Linked DNA regions of Astyanax mexicanus. The main gene of each other region encodes a partner of the protein of the gene in region 3 in a complex. Links are inferred from orthologs where the notes say so. Each region holds a gene or a part of one and is shown on either strand. Other genes may lie near its edges.

Evidence for each region.
Region 1: the proteins of protein unc-79 homolog (region 3) and protein unc-80 homolog are in contact, whole or in part, in a cryo-EM structure (PDB 7W7G), measured with the Mus musculus proteins. The link is inferred for Astyanax mexicanus from reciprocal best matches to the Homo sapiens genes UNC79 and UNC80. Residues at the interface, in XP_030102533.1 of Mus musculus: Thr120, Tyr123, Ser127, Ala130, Thr131, Leu168, Ser169, Ser172, Met175, Ile176, Gln179, Tyr180, Tyr207, Tyr211, Gly212, Pro213, Ser214, Val390, Cys391, Glu394, Glu402, Phe405, Arg472, Cys541, Asp917, Phe920, Ser965, Glu966, Phe967, Ser968; in NP_780719.2 of Mus musculus: Gln23, Thr24, Trp27, Ser31, Leu34, Arg35, Pro36, Ala80, Pro83, His84, His87, Ser94, Asn95, Asn180, Ala183, Leu187, Phe190, Leu191, Arg337, Leu340, Gln341, Pro342, His343, Arg1317, Asp1320, Glu1321, Asp1324, His1545, Val1546, Asp1547.
Region 2: the proteins of protein unc-79 homolog (region 3) and nalcn are in contact, whole or in part, in a cryo-EM structure (PDB 7SX3), measured with the Homo sapiens proteins. The link is inferred for Astyanax mexicanus from reciprocal best matches to the Homo sapiens genes UNC79 and NALCN. Residues at the interface, in NP_001333147.1 of Homo sapiens: Cys861, Gln862, Ile865, Glu968, Pro969, Asp970, Phe1020, Gln1022, Pro2088, Asp2089, Ala2092, Pro2093, Leu2095, Leu2096, Met2099, Leu2139, Pro2141, Asn2142, Gly2143, Ile2144, Gln2147, Leu2148, Ser2151; in NP_001337678.1 of Homo sapiens: Gln349, Met350, Phe351, His352, Glu353, Gly358, Trp359, Gln360, Leu361, Phe712, Ser713, Ile714, Arg717.

Annotation. Positions count from the first base shown.
Region 1 is NC_064412.1:56,682,831-56,689,764, reverse strand, and holds the start of protein unc-80 homolog, read right to left. Parts: upstream 3,012-6,934; 5' UTR 2,781-3,011; coding exon 2,689-2,780; intron 2,375-2,688; coding exon 2,326-2,374; intron 1,338-2,325; coding exon 1,181-1,337; intron 549-1,180; coding exon 244-548; intron 1-243. Other genes in the region: nomo (nodal modulator 1), read right to left, coding at 5,767-5,898, 6,764-6,856. UniProt on the Homo sapiens protein: Auxiliary subunit of the NALCN sodium channel complex, a voltage-gated ion channel responsible for the resting Na(+) permeability that controls neuronal excitability.
Region 2 is NC_064418.1:3,881,718-3,889,607, reverse strand, and holds the start of nalcn (sodium leak channel non-selective protein), read right to left. Parts: upstream 3,012-7,890; 5' UTR 2,939-3,011; coding exon of another isoform or gene 2,912-2,938; intron 2,753-2,911; 5' UTR 2,733-2,752; coding exon 2,691-2,732; intron 1,308-2,690; coding exon 1,167-1,307; intron 1-1,166. UniProt on the Homo sapiens protein: Voltage-gated ion channel responsible for the resting Na(+) permeability that controls neuronal excitability. NALCN channel functions as a multi-protein complex, which consists at least of NALCN, NALF1, UNC79 and UNC80.
Region 3 is NC_064421.1:14,334,090-14,341,750, reverse strand, and holds the start of protein unc-79 homolog, read right to left. Parts: upstream 3,003-7,661; 5' UTR 2,859-3,002; coding exon 2,837-2,858; intron 1-2,836. UniProt on the Homo sapiens protein: Auxiliary subunit of the NALCN sodium channel complex, a voltage-gated ion channel responsible for the resting Na(+) permeability that controls neuronal excitability.

The DNA of each region.
Region 1 (6,934 bases), on a different chromosome or scaffold from region 3:
TTCTAATTATTTATTTAAGTTCATATAGTGTGTTAATCTTCCTCTGATACAGCACATGACACTTCCAGGAAGTAGATCACCTGAGTACTAGCCACATGGTTTAGCCCTATAAAATATTTGGGTTCATTTGCTCTTAGTCTTTCATTAATGACTACATTATAAGTATAAGTATAATTAAAACACATTGATTGACAAGGGGTGTGCCCAAACCTTTAACTGGTACTCTAGAAAAACAGAACCAACCTTGATGCGGTTTATGAGAGGGGCGAACAGAAAGACAAAAAGCTCCACAGTGGCCATGTTCTTGTGGTAAAGCTTGGCCCGGGCGTACTCGTTCTCCTCAGGTGTGCTGCCGTTGCGTTCAACGTTTCCCTGGTTCCCCAGGGGCTGGAGGAAAGCACTGCTGCCACTGCTACCCCCTCCAGACCAGCCATGCCCGAGGTCCTGGTGGCACTCCTGAGCAGCTTCCAGCAGCATCCAGTGCAGAGTGTGGAGCAGCTTAGTTTCGGCTACACCAAGCTTGTCCTGGTGTCCTGCCAGGGAATAAGCTAAAAGGTCAAAGTTCAGTTTCAAAGCAAAGGAGACGACTGTGGAAATCAATTATCACATACACTGCTGTGAAAAAAGTATTCAGCCCTTACAGATTTATTTAGTTTTTTGTTTTTTGGGTCATATTTACACAAAAAAAGCTGATTTTATTTGCCAAAAAAGCCAAAAATGTATTAAAATCTAAATAAATAACTTGGCGGTAACAACTGCAATCAAGCTTTATCACTTTATTAACTGCTTTTTGTTTTTACGCAAGTTATATTTGAGCCCAACTGTGCTCTGAATGTCTAACAGAGAGCCATTTATATTCAACCACTGGTCGTATGAACTCAGATTTAACATTTAACGCTATTGTAAATCATTGAGATAGTTCCATGATTTATTTAAAGCTCTGTGCTGGAAGTAGGGAACCATTTCAGATTTAATCTTTTCCATTCAGATTTTCTGTTCTGAACAGATTACAAATAAAACAAAAAAATTATATGCAGCTTTTTCTAAATAACTATTAGGCAAATTATCAAACTTTTAAACTGAGATAACAACACGTACCCATACCTGTGTTTCAAATGAAAATGTTTCCAATAGTCATAAGCTATGGACTATAAAACACAGACTTTTCTGGTGAGGTTACCTAGCTTGTTGCGGTTGGAGAGGAGGATGGAGGTGCAGTGGAGGACGTGTGGGAGTGCTGCCTGAACCAGCTCCCAGCGTGAGATGCTCTGGATGGCCTCAGTAAGAGCTGGAGAGAGTCCATGGAGTTTATTCTCCACCAAAACCCGCTCAAAAGACTGGGGGCAGATTACACAGAATACGTCATATGACCCTATTTTTTTCAGTAGTGTATTCTTGAAATATTTCTTTTAATTCAGTGTTTTGTCATATCGCCAAGAGTATCGTTATTGCAAAAACACCATGAAATATCCTGTTATTTTTTAGGGCCCACCCCTAATAAACAGGTTATTCAATCAATGGATTTATTCCTCCCTGATGGCAAGGGCTTATTCCTAAATGACAATGCCAGAATTGATGGGTCTGGAATTGTGAAAGAGTTCAGGGTTCAGGGAGCATGAGATCATAATTTTCACACATGGATTGAGAGAGTTCACCACAGAGTCCAGACCTTAACCTCATTGAGAATCTTTGGGATGTGCTGGATAAGGTTTTGTGCAGCGGTCAGACTCTACCATCATCTACCATCAATTATCTTCCCTTTTATTAAGAAGACGTTGTGTACACGCTGCCGAGAGGGGGTGCTTTTCATGGCGGGGGTGCAGATTTAGACACTAGTATGTTGCCAAATTCAGCACCCCGCCAGGAAAAGCACCCCCTCTCGGCCGAGGCTGCAGGTGACGTTTCTTTTTCCTTATTTCTTACGAGTCAGCGTAGCTTAGAACAGTATCTTGGGTATTTCCATTTTCTAAGTAAAGTTAAGAAGCCAAGAAGACGTGGGTGCGTGCTCCCAAGAGGGGGTGCTTTTCCTGGCGGGGGTGCTGAATTCAGCACAACACTGAAATCAGAGCTAAAGGCGATCCAACCAAATGACTTTATATATATATATTTTTTTTTCTTTCTTTTTTAATATATTGAAATAGACTAAACTGAGTTAGTGTTAGTAAGTAGAGGCTGAGCACAATAATGGAGAGTGGGTGATGTGGCAGAGCCAGAAGCCTCAGGTGTGAGGAGAGGAGATTAGGGATGGGTGAGGGGAAAAATCCCCCTGATCACCACTGATCACCACTGATCATCACTGTTACTGCTGTTACTGCTGTTACTCACCACACAGGAGGCTTCATACTGCTTCCCCAGCTTCGGCCTCAAAAACGCACTGCAACAGCAACAGCACAGCATTTATCATTATGATATATTCATATATATTTACATTTATTCTATTTTTATATACACAATATTTACATTTTAGTTTGGTGTAAGGGAGCTAAAACCCAACATTTGAGCCAATTCAATTCAAATTACAGCCAGAAGAAGGTAATATATTTTACTAGCTTTACCAGCAACAACATACTGTGGCACACAGGCCTATTTATAAACAGCTGCTGAGCCGCACAGGCAGTTCATACATAACCACGGGTTATATTTTTACAGGTAAATATTAAACACCAGGGTTTGACAGGTTCTGCTCACCTGGTCTGTCTCCAGAGGAAGGTCTGGATGGGGAACGGTATCCCCCGGCTGTTCTCCTGCTCGCTGTCGTCCAGGCTCTTCCTCTTCACCATCTTCTCGCCGGAGATCAGAGCCCGTTATCACGGGTTTTCTCCTGTTTTTCTCAGGGTTTTCTCTCGACAGCGCTACATGTCGAGGAACCGCAAGGATCCGCTCCGGGTGGTGATTTCTGCAGGTGTATTTAGTGAACAGCTCCAGTAGAGCAGGAATATTTATTATTTTATTATAAGAGCGGCCGCAGATCTGAATGATGCCATATTCTCTCTCTCTCTCTCTCTCTCTCTCTCTCTTTTAAAGGCGCAGTAACACCAGCACTGATTCCACACATCCCCCCTTCCCCTCTACAGCCTTTGATTCTATTAACCCTTTGATGCGCATCATGGTTCAAAAGCGACCGACGTTCTGACTTTTAATTTGATGTATCTTTGCATTAAATTATTAAAAACATTCAGTATTCAAGGAATTCCTCAATTACCTTGTTTTTTTATCACCATGTATATGTGCTAAAATAAAATAGAATATCATCACACTTTTTAATTCATATATATTATTACTATTTATTTTTCTCCCTTTCTAACTTTTTAAATAAAAAACATTTTTGCATCACTACCCAATAAATGAACAAGTATAGCTTGTGGAGTGTTTCTAAACTGTATCTTTGAAATAAATGAATCATTAATCATTTTCTACTCATTTTTTTAAGTTCTCAGTGAATATCTTGTTTTTGTTTTGCACAAACCTTCATTTTTACTTGCCCTTCTTTCTTTTCTATTTCTACAAGTTCACACACAGATCAGACACGACCCACATGCAGTTACCATTTCACAGCTCACACAGGTAAATAAAAATAGTTTTTAGAATATGTCAACAAGTAGCTAGCTAATAATACTTATAATTATTTTTAAAATGCTGTGTGTGAAAAAGTGACAAACCTGCGGCAAATAAAAAAAATAATTGGGCCGCACTCCCTGCTAAAAAAAAAACTACCTGAAACTAATTATTACAGTATTAAAATAGTTTATTTTATATCACACTTTGAATGAATGGGTCATTTTTGAGGCATGAGTGTAAATGTATTGCATTTATATATATCACAAATATTTTATTCATAAAATATTAAAGTAAAAATGTAAATAATGATCAGAGGTAATTAAAAACAAATTAAATTTAAAGAATGCCTGGACTATTCAATCATAAAATACATTTATTTCAAAAGACAGACAGCAGTAGAGAGAGTGTGCATATGTTGCGCATCAGTAAATGGTAAATGGGCAACATTTAAGGTGGAATGGTACATAAGCAGCATTGAAGGTTGTATAAAAAATGACCAGCATTTAAGATGGAAAAGTAAATGAGCAGCATTTAGGGCGGAACAGTAAATGTGCAGCATTTAAGGTTGAATAGAAAATGAGAACCGTTTAAGGTGGAATGGTAAATTCAAACAATCTAACATTTTAATGTCAGTAATTTACTGAATGCAATAAATACAGCCTATGTAAGAAAGCTAGATATCAGCAGCTACTTAAAGCGGGTTTTAATCTAAATCTTTTAAAGTATTTAGTCTTTAACTCTTTAAGACAGTGGTTGATGTTAATGGTTGATCAATATTTTTGCCAATATAGCCTTAATATATATATATATATATATATATACACACGGGCAAACCAAAAGTAAGGTAAACCAAGGGAAGTGTTTACATAAAATGTGCAGAATACTGAGAATAATGTAGATTTGGGCCTCTGTGGTCCAACAATAATTAAGTTATACATAGAACACTTTATCTAAATTAACATTATGCATAAATAAAACACAGTACATACATTTTCTCACAGGATATACAATACACCAACATGCAAATAGGGTCAACACACATTTTTTTCTCCCAAATAATTTTATTTTATTTCTTTGTTTTCACTGAGAATTTCACTGAGAGTTACGTCCCGAACTTGTGATACAGGTCATGGACTCGAGACGCACCAAATTCATTAACACACTGGAGACAAATTAAATAATAAAATAAAAAAGTCACAAATATTCAGAGCTGCTTGTAGGAAGTTTCTAGCTTGATGGGACATAATTTTATTATATAAAAAAAATAACAAAACATATTTAATGGTCAAATTGCTCCAAACTCAAAACTACTCATAATGACCATGCAAAAAAAATATTATACCACCTTTTTAATGCATGTTGTCACAATCACCTATTTGGACTTTGGATGTTATTAATCATGATTTAAAATGTATTGGTTGCAAATGTTGGTTGCAATCTGGTTGGATGGTCAGTAGCACAATATTATAACACTAACCTAAAAATATTAACTATGATCCAAATGCTCAAAAATGATTGGCTTTAGTTTAGGAATTAGAAAAAAAAATGGGAAAATCGATTTCACTGTTGTTAATAAATATTTCATTAATACAAACAAGTGTCGTCATCTTCATCATCATCATAATCATTATCATCATCATCATATTTAATTAACTACTTGGGTCAGTGTCTTGTTATGATAGAAACTATCAAATTTAATCACACACACACACACACACACACACACACACACACACACACACACACACACACACACACACACACACACACACACACACACACACACACACACACACACACACACACACACACAGTCATACACACATCCTCACGCATTAGTTCAGATCCACTCTCCTCCCTGAGTAACCACATTCACAAACACGCAGTTTCAGAGCCACATTCACACACAAACACACACACCAGGGTTTCGAACAGAACTCTCCAAGAAGACGCCAAGAAATAAAAATACTTCAAACAAACAGCCACTTCTAATGCTCTTCTAAGCCTGAAACTATTTGACTGCAGCTCTTTTCTAAACCTCGATAAAGCACCAGCTGTTAAAAGTCCCGAGACTCATCAGTGAGGCTCTTAAACACAGAGACTTCACAGAGATGTAAAACTGCAGGGCTGAGAAACTCAAGTCTTGCGTTTCGGCCAGAAAAGAAAGTTGTTTGTAGTGTCTGAAGCTCTGATTTTGTCCCTGGAGGATTATGTGCGTCTCGTCTTAGGTCTCTTGGATGGTCTCTTGGCTTCATCCGTAGTTAGACCCTCACCGCTGGTCTGGGAAAGTCCTCTGACCCCCTGGATGCGGCTCAGCAGCTGCAGGAACAGCGGGATCACCTGAAGCGAATGAAACATGTGCTGTTACTATCACAGCCCATAATCACCCATAGAACACTTTTTACCTTATAGCTGATGGTGATGTATTGTAGTATTTAACTACATTATCTATGAATGAGCCATTCCACCGAATAGGTGTCATTTGCTTGTTCTAATGCTTCCAAATTAAACTTATTTTTTAAATCTCTCTAAATCTAACTCTGAATCTAACACATATTTAACGTATATTAACTATTTAAAATATGTACTGGTCAATCTCAGGCAGCTTTACTTTTTTACTTTTTTTTTTTTTACAAGGTTTCTAATCAGAAGATGTTTACAAACCTAATGTGACATTAAAAGGTGTCTTTAAAAGCAAGTGCACTAATTCCTTTGATTTTAAAGAAATGGTTGACTGCATGTTCAAATAATTTATATTTATAACAAAAAATCACTATATATGCATGCACACTGTATTTTTTCCAAATATCCAATTAAAAAAAAAAATCTTTTTAAGAAGACTCACCCTGACCCAAAACGATCAAATTTACTATCATGCAATTTATTTAACAAATGGATAAACAATGAACGAAACAGAATTGGGAAAAAAAGTGGTTTACATGAACTAATATTCACATTAATAAACAAATAAACTAGTGAACAATACTCACTCCTGTTACTGAAAGGTTTGCTGATTAGTGTATTTTATGTTACGCTTTTAAAACACACCCATAATTAATGAAGAGAATCAGTTCATGTCTTTTGCTCATTTCAAGCCATGCAAGGTGCACTTTTCCTGTGGTTACGATAGCAAAGACTCACTGATTTTGGCATGTCAGTGTAGAGAACAACACGGATGCTGAAAAAGAAAAAAAAAAAAACATACCTTTTCATGGTTATACACTGCCAGTAACAACAACAGAGTCAGAGGCAGTGCAATGTAAGATCCTTGAGCAACCTCTTGATCTGGGAGTTTTCTCTGTAAAGGAAATATATTAAATATATATATTAAAATATGGAAAAAGACAAAGCTGCCATCTTGCTTTTATTTGTTATT
Region 2 (7,890 bases), on a different chromosome or scaffold from region 3:
CAATTTACAAGACCAATTATCCAACCCACTCATTAGGACTCCCCCTACTACTACCACTAGTGATGCCCCAACACCAGAACTCCAACTGCTGCTGATGCAATATTGCCGAGTAGCATCACTGCGCGCTCGGAGGACAGCGCAGCGACTCGGTTCCGATACATCAGCTCACAGACGCTTTGTGCTGATCGACATCATTCATTGAAATTATGTGGGGAAAGAGCACCATCTACCCACCCAGAGAGAGCAAGGCCAATTGACAACCAATCATAGTGGGAGCACTTTAGACCACTGGACAATTTGGAGCCCTATAATGTGTTAAAATATTTTTAGTTCAATTCATTTTTGTTGTTTACCCAATATTCTTCCCAATTTTGCAACCATTGCTACCACTGCATCCTTACTATGCAACCAAATTGCTCAGAGGAAAGTGCAGATTCCCAGCTATGATACAGTGGGGCATCCAACAGATGCCTGATGAGCAAAGAGAGTTCATTTTAGCATGTTCTCCTCCACCAGTCTTACACACTGCTTTTGGATAACTTTATGCTGCTTTACTCCTGGTGCAAAAGTTCAAGCAGTTCAGCTTGGTTTGAGAGCTTGTGACCATCCATATTCCTCTTGATTATATTCCTGTAGTAATTTGGTAAAATCAAAGAAACTTTTATTTTTCCAGAGATCTATATATTATTAGTTAGTGCAAGATGCCAATTACATCTTAGAAAATATGAAATTAAATATGCAGTGTTATCAGGAAACACAGTTGACAAATATTCTACAGCATTCCTAGCTTAATAGTGTAGTAAGTAAATCCAAGGACATAGCAAAGCACCTTTTATTGTGGAGAAAAGGTATTTTTAAAAGGAATGCCGGCTCTTACACATACAAAGAAAGATTTGCAGAACATCAAAAGGTTGTTAAAACGTCTCCAGAGAAAAACATAATTTCATTATGTAAATTGTTTGTATCCTATAAAAGTCTGAAATGGAAATAAGCTGCTAGATTTAAAAAATAGCCAGTGCTACTAGCTAAAAAAAAAAGTAAGCGCACAGTCCTGATATGTCACTGAGACACCAGCCATCAGGGATAATCAGGGCACAGTCTATTAGCTGCCACTTCTAGGGATGGAAATGCCAGATATGTGGCACAATCTCATTTGAATGACTCACTGGTTTGTTGATCCAGAGGATGTCAGCACTGTCGGTGAGCGTTTCATCAGGCCCAAAATCCGTCATGGGCTGCGCCTCGACGCGCGAGCTCTGCTTCCTCTTCAGCATGCTGGGACTAGCCGTGCTATAAAGGGAGTGAATCTGAAAGACACAGCCACACACAGTACCAAAACTGACTCCAAACGCAGTTAGCACTGGGCTACGATGTTCCTAGCCGCTTGTGTTAAAAGCTAATGTCGCAATTAATGCTAATAGCTGCTGTCCATGCACTACTAAACTATGGCATTAAAAGCTCTACAATGGACTATAATAATAATCCAGTAATAAACAGTACCAATCAAAAGCCTGTACACACCTTCTCATTCAATGTTTAAATTATTTTCTTTTTTTTTTACTACACTGTAAGTTAATAATGCTGAAGTCATCCACACATAAGAAATCATGTAGTAAATTAAAAGTGTTTCTGAGACTGGTAACTCTGATGAACTTATCCTGTGCAACAGAGGAAACTCTTGCTCTTTCTTTCCTGGGGCAGTCCTAATGAGAGCCAGTTTCATCATTACGTTTTTGATGGTCTTTGCAACAGCACTTGAGGATACTTTCAAAGTTTTTGAAATTGTTTGGATTGACCGACCTTCATTTCTTAAAGTATTTTTTTTTCTTTATTTAGTTGAGTAGTTCTTCTCATAATCTGGATTAGAACATTACTCAAATAGGGTTATTCACTGTATACCAACTCTACCTTTTCACAACTTTACTTTAACTGATGATCTCAAACACATTAAGAGGCAAGAAATTCAAGTAATTAACTCTTGACGAGTTCAGCACAGCTGTTAACTGAAAGCCTGAATTCCAGGTGACTCTACCTCATAAAGCTGACTGAGGAAGCTGTCATCTAAGCAAGCAAGAGGTGCTACTTTGAAGAATCTAAAATTTAAAACAAATTCTGGTTTGTTTAACACATTTTTTTAAATTAGTGTCATATTTTTCTTAATAGATTGGATGACATTAGTATTAATCAATTTAAGGCATGTCCAAACTTTTGACTGGTACTGTATGACAAGCAAGCGTATAGCAAGCTCAAAGTTTAGCACTATTTCTATAAGTATTTTATACAGTTTTGCTACAAAAGGAGAAGGAAGAGTCTAATACAGGTATGCCTACACTGACATGCAGAACGAACAGAACAAAGGTCAAAGTCTCAAATCTGAGATATCTCTCCACGGGAGCTGCGCATTACAACATAAGAACACGTCTCCGCACCAGACAGTATGCATTGTATTGTTGCATGGCATAGGTGGAGCACAATCAAGCGCATGGAAACACACAGAACACGGTTCACTTCACACCAATATATATACTGACTTACCTGCTGCAAAGATCATGCTCGATCTTCAGCAATATAAACACACCTACAGGCAGTCAATACCGAGTTTCGCTTAAAACTACGAAGTAAAGGCCATTCTCACAGTGGACAATAATATACATGGATATCACACACTAACTGAAACAAAGCGCACATACCAACGGGAAAAGTAAAGCTGAAATTGCTCCAGCACTGCACATAACATGCGATCAGGCATACCCTGTAAATAACACACAACAGTTAGTCAACATGGCATATATGGTGTACCAACGTGTACAGTACGATTATATCAACAGATAATGTCCACCACAATCAGACAAGGCATATATGCGACATGGGGTGTTCTGGACAGATGGGGTTGCTGGGTCATGTGACTCACGGTCAGGCTCCTCATTGGTGCATTCATCCCCAGAACACAGAGGGGTGGAAACCAGTACGAAAGATAAATGGGCAGCAGAGCTGTGACTTTTCTTGTGCGGCTGTAGGAAAGAAAATGAAGCAAGAAAGAAAAACTCAAATTAGGATTTATTTTTTGTTCTAAAGAAAATATATAGACCTTTCTAATTATAACATAAGCAGGGGGCCTACAGTGGACAGAGCATTGGAGGGTAATAATTGTTATCAGCAGCATGTGGACCCATATGCTCTCATATTCATATATCACAAGTCAATGCAGTGTTCTTTATCATACATGGTTTATGGCAAAAGTCATGGGATACTAGTTTATTTGGCATGTTACAATATATGAACAATATATGAACAAAACAAAGCCTCTTCACATTTAAAACATTCATCTAGCACTGCTGAAAACCTCTCAAAGCTCACATTAAGCTGTGCTCCCAACTAGGGGTGGGCGATTTGGTCCTAAAATAATATCACGATATTGCATGGTATTTCTGCGATAACAATATAGTTGACGATATGACAAAACACTGAAAACATTAAAAAATGTCAAGAATACTGTAATGCCAATGTCAAAACCTCCCAAAGCTCCCGTTAAGCTGTATATAATATAACACACACCAACTATCTAACTATGTCTTTAGAAACTGTATATTCAGTAGGCTTCACTATACATGTGTGACGTTTATACACATTTGTGACATGTTTACATAACATTGTTATGTTAAATATGCTTCCCATATAAACATCTGATTTAACAAAGGCCTTATGCCAACCACAGAAACACAGGAACAGCCAGGGGTCTCTAATAACCTGACAAACCACCAATAGCACACACTTGAAAAATAAAGATGTACCCTCACTCAGGCCTTTGTTTTTATCTTAAGCTACTTAAGTGAGAACTTTTCCATCAAGTGAGAACAACTTACTCAAAAAGCTCTATATTGTCAAAAGCAATCTGCAAAATAGGCCTTAATTGCTACACTTAGCATATGTTGGTAAGGATTTATGGATGAGTGAAAACAAAATTACAGGGTGGGTGTGCTGTAATGTGGGAGTAGGTTGGAGAGAACTGCAATTAGTTTCACTTCTGGAGAAAGGACCTTCTCGCCAGAGGCAGGATGCAATCACTGGGCATATTAATGATAGCTGTGGGTGCCCCCTAGTATCACAAAGTAGTATGAAACTGTTTTAAATATGTAAAGAGTATCATCCAGGGTTATTTGCACAGTAAAGATGTAATCAGAATGTTATAACAATGTGGTTTAAAGCAAACTAAAAGCATTTTGTGACAAATTATTTGAAAGGCTTTAACTGAAAAGTCAAATTATTGCAAAAATTGTGTAGCCTGTAGTAGTTCTGAATAATAACCAGGAGGGTAAAGATTAGCACATGCCTCCTCCGATACTGCTGCTGATGTAGCATTACTGCGCAGCCAGCATGCTCGGAGGACAGCGCACAGACTTGGTTCTGATACATCAGCTCACAGACACCTTGTGCTGATCGACATCACCCTTTGGAGTGATGTGGGGAGAGAGAGCGCCATCAACCCACCAGAGAGAGCAAAGCCCTCTGTGCTCTTTCAGGGCTCTGGCAGCTGATGGCAAGCTACATGAACAGTTAAAAAGAGAAATTTATATAATTTATATTTATTTATATTATCAGTTATCTGTCCAGTATCAGTTATTTATTTTACAATTTATATTACTTTATTCCTGGATGTATGGAGATATTTGGAGTGCATTATTAGTATCATGACATTCTGGATTATTGACTTCTGATACAAATATGTAGTGTGTTCTTGAAATATAATGCCAAGAGTATCGTTATTACGAAAATACCATGAAACATTGAAATATTATTTTAGGGCCACATCCCCCACCCCTACTGGAGAGCTATAGCTACTGCGGAAACAGGAACTGAATTATGAATGTAAAAATGTGATGGGCACATAATGCATACTGGAAAGCTATAGCTAAAGTTATAGCTAAGCTATAACAAACAGGTTAAGTGTTACTAGGTGTAATGGGTATATAAGAAGAGGCGTGTGGGTTTCCTATTTCAGACTAGAGCAGCAACAGCCCCTCAGCATAATATACATAATCTGTATTGGAGGAAAACGTACACCTAGATCATCAGTATAACAGTATGGACCACCTTCATTGACTAACAGTGGACTTTAAATTGGAGGAACACGTGACTATAGCTAGCTAACATTAATTTCACACATTATAGGCCATGCCTGTCCTCTATAGTCTTGATTGTCTTGATTTTATATTAAAAAAAGCTATAAAACTACTCAGAGTAGATAATTCTAGCAAAAGTAGGAAAATGTGTTTGTATACCAAAAGTGTATATGTACATGGAGACCCCATCCCCCCTCCTCCCTCCCTCTTTCCCTGAGCCAACACACACACACACACACACAGAAACACACACTCTGAGCCGGTTGCCATGGTAACAGATGAGAGCAGGGCTGCCACTGGCTCAGGAAAAAAAAGGATAAATCGTCTTATTATTAAAGATACATACAAACAAAACACATTTACACGCTTAAAAACTGCCTGTCTTCGTTTTCAGCACCTACACGTTGTTAAAACGTCGCTTCTTTCGTTCTAAATACGCGTTTATTTTACCCAAGGCCTTTAGCTATAGCCTGTGTAGCACTTCCTGCTAAAGCTAATGCTAACGCTAACATCTACAGGTAAACAGCCCAGTCAAATCCCTCTATACGGCCCTCACAGCGAAACCACGGGTCCACAGGGCTAAACATCACCTCACAGCGCCGCGCCGCTCACCTGTGGGTCGGTCTGCGCGCCTCACTGGTCCGCTGGGTCCATGTTTCCCGCTGAACGCCGGTTATGATGGAGCTCCGGTTACAGAAGCAGCGGCGGCGGAGGGGCTACTGCAGCAGCGGCAGCGTCGGGCACGCGCCCTGTCCTCAGCAGCAGCAGCAGCACGAGACACACACAGGCCCTCCAGCACCAGATACAATCAATGCACACAGCCAGGACTACAACTATAACACACACACACACACACGTTCATTCAGGTATAAATCTAATATTTATGGAGGATTTAGGAAGAAACACCTGTTAAACTCTTTGAACCTATAGGTCATTATAGAATAATTAACTCTCTGTGGCATAGATTATATTTTTAGTAAGGAAATAAATCACAACACTTATTGGGGAGTTTGTTTTTCCTATGGGACATTTTTTTTTACTTTTTACTTTGATAACAAGTAGTAAAATAATCGGATGATTATTTATTTCGATTAGTCGATTAGTCAACGTTTTTTCCTGCCACCTCCTCCAGCTCTAAAAACAATAGAAACAGCTGAACATGAGATTTACAAGGTATTTAAATGTCTAGATGTTGATTAAATGTGGTAAGTACTGAGATTTAGTGAGTGAATGTGTAATTTGTTGTAAATGTTTGGGCACTTTTGGAGACACAGACTAAGTTGAGTGCAAACTGTGTGAGTGACTTTTTCTAGATCATCCTTTTTTTTTAAATATCATTTGATTGGCTAAATTGAATGATATTTATATCAGTGACGGCATTCACTTAAAAAAATCAAATTCAATCATGCATTATTGTAGTTCCCTGTATTATTGTGAGAGGGCAGTAATAATAGTGTAGTGTGTTTTAGGCCAGGTGTAAACTGGATCATGAGATCACAATTTCGTTCCACCCATGGAACATTTTTTACTTTTTATTACTATGTAATAAAACCACATATGGCTCTGTATCCAAATCAAAGGCAACAAATGCATCCTAACATTCCTAATATGTGGACAGATTCCACCTTTACCTAGTTATATCCACTCATACAAGAGCAGCCTTCCATCTGTTTGAATGAGCAAATACCCAAATACTTTAAACCAAGGGTTTTAACAATTTTAACAATATATATTAAATCACTGATATAGTCCGACAAAAATGCCATTAACAGCTAGTAACTTTTGGCATCATGATGTACAATGATGCAAAAGCAAATGTGATTAATCCATCTTGTTATAGCTTCTGCGCTTACTCAGATCTCCTCATCCAGGGGTGCTTTCCCCAATATCAGGCTGACCCTCCTCATTTCACAGCGTGAGCAGCTAGCTGATTGGCTGTTCATGTTTAAGGGTAAAACGAAAAAAATCTGTAAAACGAATAAAACATTTATCCTGCATGCTTTTGACAGGAAACACTTGTGCTGCATTCAGAATTGCTTCCTACTGCAGAAATAATGCACTATATGATGCGTCAGCCAATTTCTATTGCTTTTAGAAGTCTTAAAAATACACGATTATATTAAACACCTATAATGCATCACAAAATGTAGTGTTTAGACAATGTACACTAGAATTTCCAATGTATACCATAATGCAATGTGGGGGTGGTGTGCCAGACGTACTCAAAGGGGCACAAATTAAAATTGTTTGTTGTTTGGTAGTTTCCTAGTCAGTTCACTATAAATCAAATGCTATATTATAGTACATGCTTATGCTAAATGGCAAGAGTTTTCTACTACTATATATAATATAATTAATTTACATTGTATACTTAGTATATGTTCCTATATATGTGTTACATTGCTATTGTACATTGTAGGTCTATATGCATTGAAATAATAATTATAAAATTGATGGAAGGAACTAAAATATTAATTCACATAAAATGTTTATTTAATATGCTTTATGAGCGTATGCTAGCTAAATCACAAAGTACACACTGTACACTACGAAAAAAAATGTGTATTATTAGATCATCTTTATTAACAACTGTTTTGAATTATGTCTTTCACTAGTGGCTGAGTTTTTTTTACTTTTTTTTTTAGCAGCTCCCTCTCTGTCCCGCTCCTTGCTTTGCAGCAGGAGTCAGAACTAATCAAAGGCACTTGCCTGTAGAGCGCTATTGGCCTCAGAAGAGTTGGAGCCGGTTTTGGCCAGCCCGCTCTCCCTC
Region 3 (7,661 bases):
CCATTTTGCATGTGATGTCACCACAAAGCCTTTTTAGTGTGCTTAACAGGCTACTGAGAAGGATTCTTCATAGGACAGTCCTACCCCAGACCTGTGTGTAGTCATGTGTTTTAGTCCCGTCCAGTCTCCGGAGGAGAAAAATTCTGAACCAACTAAACAACTCTAGCAGCTTGTCCCAAAGTAAAGTAGTACAATAATATCAAAATTATGTTAGTATTGGCCGATAATTGCTTCTTTTTTTTTAGAACCATCAGCATTGGCTGATTCTACTGATATTTCTAAGCGATATTTGTTGACATTTTTATTGTATGCTGGAAAATGACTAATGACGCTGGTTGTGCTACAATAATTGGCTTACACTGGCCCTGCAACTTTAAAACTCATGATTTAAGCTCAAATTGTGAACACATTCTCAGGAGAAACTTTTTATTTCATTGTTCGGATACAGTTGTATGAAAGCTAAAATGTAAGGCAAAAATTTTAAGTTTGCTTTTAAAGATATATTGTGGTGTTTCGTCTCTCTAAAATGTATAATTGTGTATATTAGTATCAGCATTGGCATTAGCAGAATTTACATGTGTAATTCACTAACATCCCTAGTAAATTTGACAACTACAAAACATCTGTATTTGTGTTGTAAACATTTATTGAGACACCTGGTTCCTATCACCACTGCAATAAAGAAATCTTTAAAATGCTCTACAATTTTAAAGCAAATCACAGTAAATGCATATTTTAACCCTTCTGTACCAACATAAATCAATCCATAGTGGTAAGGCCTGTACTGAAGCTGTGCTCATGCAGTACTGTAAGTATTTTATTAGATGACCTTTAGTATCTGGTCAGGTCAGCTGTAGCCCTACGGACAGCCATTGTTATTCCATGCTTTCAGTGAGTCACACTGTTAGAGGTACAGTATTAACTCTAGTCTGTCCAAACTTGACTAAAACAGGCTAACCCACCAAGGAAAGAGAAAGTGAAAAAGAGAGGTTGTAAACAATAATACAAAAGATATACAGCATAATGGGGAAAAACTGAAGACTGAGAGTTTGACTGAGAAAAAGACAATGGAGGGGACAAAAGACAGAAATATGAATTGCAGAGGAAAATATGAATATGAATATACAGAAATATGAATATGATGCAGAGGAAAAACAAAAAAAGAGAAGTAGAGTGAGTTAAAGTTTTTTTAACTAATAATTATGTAATTATGTATATTTAAGTATATACTGTATTTCTACACACTGACATGGTAAAATGCATGGTATAACACTAAAATTTATAAATTGATCATAAAATGTTACTTCAGGGACGTCTTGGGAACAGCCACACCAGTATAGGTTGTTAGATGTTATGTTGTAAGTGAGACTGAACACTGTTCACCATGCTCATGGCAAGCTTAAGCTATACCTGAAAGTGGTTGCCACTATAATTTTTTTCATCTTATTATCTTTATTCACTACACTTATTTAGTCATTTAATTATAGATAAATAAGTTAAGGTATATTTGTACATATAAGAACATATGTTTTTACATATACTTACATTAATTTGCCATACACTTAACAATGCCCAATTTTATGATAGTTGCCACTGTCATTTAAGATTACTGTTGTTGTTTTTTTTGTTTTCTTACATGATCTGTCAGTGGTGTTAATGTTATTGTTGTTATTGTGTGTGTATATGCTATGGTTCTGTATTGGTAATATGACATGTTTTTATGACACAAGAGTTATGACTAAATATATTGAGATAAATTGCGATACTGTAAGTAAGGTGATATATTGCAATCGCAAATCCGATTTTAGAAAAAAACTGTCATGTAATAAAATCACACTCATATTTATAAATTCTGAGTGAAAGAATGTATAAACAGTTAACTTAAAAAAACGTTACTGTGTTTTTGAAAAGTCTATACAGCTTTAGTAACAAAATTGCAATGCATCTTACACCCTTCTATAGTCTGGGGGATGAGAAAAGGTGAGACAATGAAGGAGATAAAGAAGACATTTATATAGATATAGTGAAAAAGCAGGAGGCAGAGATAGAGATAGGGGATGGATGGGGTGGAGGAGTGGTTCATAGATGAGGTGGTGGGTTCCTCCCAGCCTTGTACCATGTATTTAATACTATCTGAACAGTCTGCATATAACGTTATCTGCTGTGCTTGTAATAACTGAGCTACTCTGTAGTTGTGCTGGTGCTCAGCAGTGACTCACCTGTTCACAGTAACAGGAAAACCTACAGTCTAATTTAACACACACACACACACTCTCTTTCTCCCTGCTGGAAACCTACACGAGGGCTGAGGTGAGGGGCTTAGCTAATGATCAGCATCCTGATAAATGGGGAGAAGCAGCAGCTCGACCTTGAGAAAAGGGGCGTTTTGCTTCTGTTTTAGGCAGAAAAAAAATCAGAAATCCCTAATGTCAGTCAACATCACCTGAGGATGAGTGAGCATGAGCACGAGAGCAGCGTGAGAGCATGAGCACGAGAGCATGACCACATCCACAGTACCAGCTTTTCTTTCTGAATCTGTTCTCAGTCTGAATTAAACCCAGAGCTTTAGCTTCGTCTCCTGCAGCAGGAGGACGTGTTGCAGCTCCTTCGCCTTATAGCAATGTCTCTCTCCCCCCTGTTTCTCTCTCTCTCACACACATTCTCTCTTTCTCTCCTCATCACCAAGGGCAGCTACCCACATTTACATCCACAGCAGCAACAGCAGCAGCATCAGCCCCATTCTCAAAATATATATATAACACACACTGATATACACACACTGACCACCAGCCACAGAGACACAGAGATAAATGGAAAGGCAGCCGAGGATACTTACACTGCTCTGCCTTCGTAGACATGTTGAAAAACTGGACGCACAAAAAAAGCCCAAAACGGCGGTGTTTGTTCTTTAACCCTGCGCTGTCTACACACTGTTCCTCCTCTCAGTGTTGGGGGAAAAAAAGTGAACAGCCAACAGCCCCCTCCTCCTCCTCCTGCACCCTCCTCCCCCCAGCACCACCACCTCCACCTCCACCAGCTCCAGAGTTCAGGTTGTACCACTCTCTCCCTCTCTCTCTCTCTCTCTGTCCTTCGCTCTCTCACACATCAGCCCATTTCCCCTCCTCGTTTCTCCTCACATAAAGACATAAACACCCACAGCCCCTCTATATTCTGTCCTAAACCAGCCAGAAACCTTAAACCCACCCAGAACAAAAGGTAGGCTAATCTCCCTGCTCACCTTTCCAGCGAATATAATGGACTGTTCCGTGTCGAACAGTTGCCATTCGCGATATTAATTTCCTGACACCAAACAGCACAGGCTATTAGCCCAGGCTATCTATTTATCAGTCAGTCAGCCCGCCTGCAGGGCTTTCTCTGTAACATCTCTGTAAACAGGTGCCTGGCCGGCTCTGGAGGTGGTGTTGTAACCTGTATGTAAGGTGTAGCCTATTGTAGGGCTGCTGTAGGAGTTAGACGAGCAACAGTTGGTTCTAAGGACGGGATTTTGGGGCTTTTTTAATCTTCTCAGAGAATGTAGCGACATATTAGCTTCTTAATACTCCTTAAAGGACCAACGCGCGCAGGGGCAGAGCGCGTGCAGGCCACGCCCACACAAACCGCGAGGAAGCCCACACACGTACACTTTCAAACACACACACACACACACACACTCACACACACACACACACACACACACACACCTGCATACTAAAATAAAATAAAATCCAGCTCATATTTTCTCATAATTTAATGCGAATCTTTATTTAACGTGTCATTATCTTTATTTTGCGACACCAAGACATTATTTTGAGTTACTAAGTCATTATTTTGACACACTAAGTCGTTACTTTAAGATACCAATTCATTATTTGAGAAACTCCCATTATTTTGAGATACTAAGTCGTTATTCTGAGATACTACGTCGTTATTTTGAGATACTAATTTGTTATTTGGAGAACTCTCATTATTTTGGGATACTAGGTCGTTGTTTTGAGATACTAAGTCATTATTTTGAGATATTAAGGCATTATTTTGAGATGCTAAGTTGTTATTTTGAGATACAACGTTGTCATTTTGAGATACTATGTCTTTATTTTGAGATACTAAGTCGTTATTTTGAGATAAGAATTTGCTATGTTGAAATACTCATTATTATCTCATTATTTTGAGATGCTATGTCGGCAAAAGATGGTCCAATGGTTCTTTAGATAATATATATATATATATTATCTATATATGTTTTTTCTAAATGTGTAGTCAGTTTATTTGGCTTGTTTATGAGAGCTGATATTACAGTTCATTTATAACATTAAAATGGCATTATATTTATCTTTTCTAATGGATTTGTGCATTTACCAGAAATCCAATAAGAGCAGCCTGTTCTTCTTTATCTCTCCAAAAGGCTTGTAGCTTTGGAAGATTATCTCCCATCTTCAAGATATATTTTTTATATTCTAGTTTTTAAACCAATACATCACATTACACTATCAATAATAATGGTCATGCCAATTAAAAACGAGTGATAATGGAGCATTAACCAAACAATACTGTCATGTCTTGTGTTTGTAAACCTCACTACTCATCAGTAAACCATTTTTATGTATTCTGGCACCAAACCCGTTATGTACCGGTAGTACTACTAATGTAACCGATAATAATCATCTCTTTTCACAGAGGAAAACACCAGTCAGTATTCTGTACTATTAACATTATTTATTAAAGTCAACAATAACTGTTGTATACTGTATGGTATATATTTCAGGAGAAGTGTTGAAGACAAGCCATGAGGTCAGACTTCAGGAGGTGGTCTTTGCTTGTAAACTGGAATATGGTGCATGATCCAACCCGCCGGGACCAGAAGAGCAAGTGCAAAGACGGACATGGTAAACACTGTTTGCTGTGGAGACATAATAAAGATTAGAAAGAAATTAAAACACTTCATTGTTGTGTAGAGCTTTATGAAGCATGTTTTGGCATGAATGCACACCATTCAAGTCCCCAGTGTTAAATGAACACCTCTAGTTTGCATTACTGACCAGCTGGTGTAGGTGTTAATTCAACACTGGATATAATGGGGTTATATACCACCTTTCTGCAACCTCATTATCACACAAGATTCTGTGGAATATGATCATTTGACATGGAAAAAATAAATTAAAACAAGTAAAATGTGTAGAAATTGTTTTGAGAGCCATGTTGCAACAGTGAAATGTTTCAACTAAAGAAAATCTTCTGTTTAATGGGTTTATAATTCAAAAACAGTCATGTTTAATTTTTGAAAAGTCTTTGTTTATCACTCAGATGTAAACACACAATACTGTTAACACTGCTTTGTACTGTATACTATATAAATGACCTGTATTCTGAGTGTAGCTTTATTCAAAAACATTCCAGGTTTAAGCAGTTTAAACTCAGAGTAAATGGGTGGGGCTAAACTGCTGTGAATTAAATGGGTGGGGCTAAAATGATGTAAGTGGTTAAGTAGCTATACTTAAATGATATGGTTAAGATATCATGAAAAAATTGGATTTAAAAAGTTGTTTTTCAGTTTAGTGTTCATATGTCCACTGAATGGACTGAATGGCACATTTTAAAGTTACACACTACATCACATTCTTTAATATGACTTCTTATTGGCTGCCTATATTGGAACTGAAATGCTTCAGATATACTAATGGATATACACAGATGCTGATTGATGACCTGCCAACAGGAAAATGTTTTTTTTAACAGCATAATAAAGTACTTTGTAAGAATGATTATTTCAGGACCTAGCTTAAGTGTATAGGAGGCGATGATATGGGTGAGTTGCAAAAGACTTAATCATTTACAAGAAAGGAAGAGATGGGTTGGATGGGAGGTTAGATTGGAAAGAGAAGGGGATTCCAGCATGTTCCTCCTCCCAAAATCCAGCTTTGATTACTCTGACTTAGTACCACATATATTAAAAGTGAATTAAAAGCCAAAATTGTATAGATGCACAAAATGTTGTGACTTGTTTAACATTATACATATTTTAAACATCAAAATAAATGTTGCATAAAATGCTTATTTTTTCAGTACCTTATAGCGACTTACATAAATTCAGTGCATCACATTTTTAGAAAACTCACATTCATAGAAAACAGTCTGTTACTGTTATATAGTGCATGCTACAGGTACCAGTTAGAAAGATGCTTGATTAGTAAATCAGGCATACTGAAGACAAAAAAAGCTAGAGCACAGCTGTACACAACTTACTGTACTCTGCCATTCAGAAGTTTTAAACCCAAGTTTTCTCCCAATTTTTTCTGAAATGTATATTCGTCATGCATTTTGCTCGTGCATTGTTTTGTTTTTCTGAATGATCTGTAGTCATTTAATTTGGTCTGTTTTATGAGAACTGAACACATTAAAATGGCATGATATTTAACTTCTCTGACCTATTTATGCATTTACAAGAACTCCCAGAAGAGCAGCCTGTTCTTCTTTATCTCTCCAAAGTGCTTGTAGCTTTGCAAGACTTTTTCCCATCTTCAAGATACGTTGTCAGTAGAAGCATTTTTTTGGCATTAAATTCTGAAGTTTTAAACTATTCTATTTTTGTTTAGAATGTACACTGTAAAGGAATGGCACAAAAGGTTTCATTTAACACAAATCATACTTGAAATAACTAATTTATCAGGTGAAAAAAATAGTCCAATTGCTTATTACACTATGGACATTTTTTGTTCCTACTGAAACTTCTGTAACCTTTATATAATATTCAAATCCTTATTGTGTATGTTATTTATTGTATAAAGCAAAGAAAAAAAATAATATCACAATTGATATCTAAATTTATGATGAGAGGATATTTACCCCGGGTCCAATATTGTCCTTAGGTGGTTTGCAATGGATGTTTGACCTGTGATCTTGTTGGGGTAGCTTTGCTCGTGCCAGAGCTCTCACCCATCCTCTCAGGCCTAAAAGCATTTTAATCCAAATTCTTTAATCCAAACGAAGTATCCAGTGTATAAGTGTGTGCACCATTAAAGACGTCTTGAAATGGTATGTCCTGTTATGACTGTACAAAACAGTTTATCCTACCAACAGGGAGGACCCCCAAGCCGTGGTAATGACCCAAAACTATCCACTGCTTCCCCAGTCTCAAGAGAACGGCTACAATTAGATTTTCTCACATTCTCTTCTCTTACTGTGTTTTCAGTTTGAGTTTGACATGGGCTGACACATCACAGGAATCTCACGTTGTATCCCAAGTTATTCACATTTATCAAAAGAAGTGTCTGATTCTATTTGTCCCACTGGAATTTTTACCCCCTGAAAAAAGCAGGTCCAGATGTATTTACCCTTTTAATTTACGACAGTATACTGTGTTACTGTGTAATTCACATGGGGATTTAAGAGGTTAAAGAACTGAAACCTGATACCCATTCATCTGAACTACTACTGTATAACAACTACTGTACTGAACAACTACTGTATAAACTACTGTATTATTATAATAGTACATTACAGGACAGACACTGGGTTAAGCTTAGTCCTGGACTAAATGGTTTTCTGTTTATTTTAAAAATCATGTTATATTTATTCTAAGCATAGAAATCCACCTCGAAATGCCACAGCAAGTAGTGACAAACAGCTGTGTTTTGTGTCCCTCAAGAGGAAGCCAGAGGTCAGAG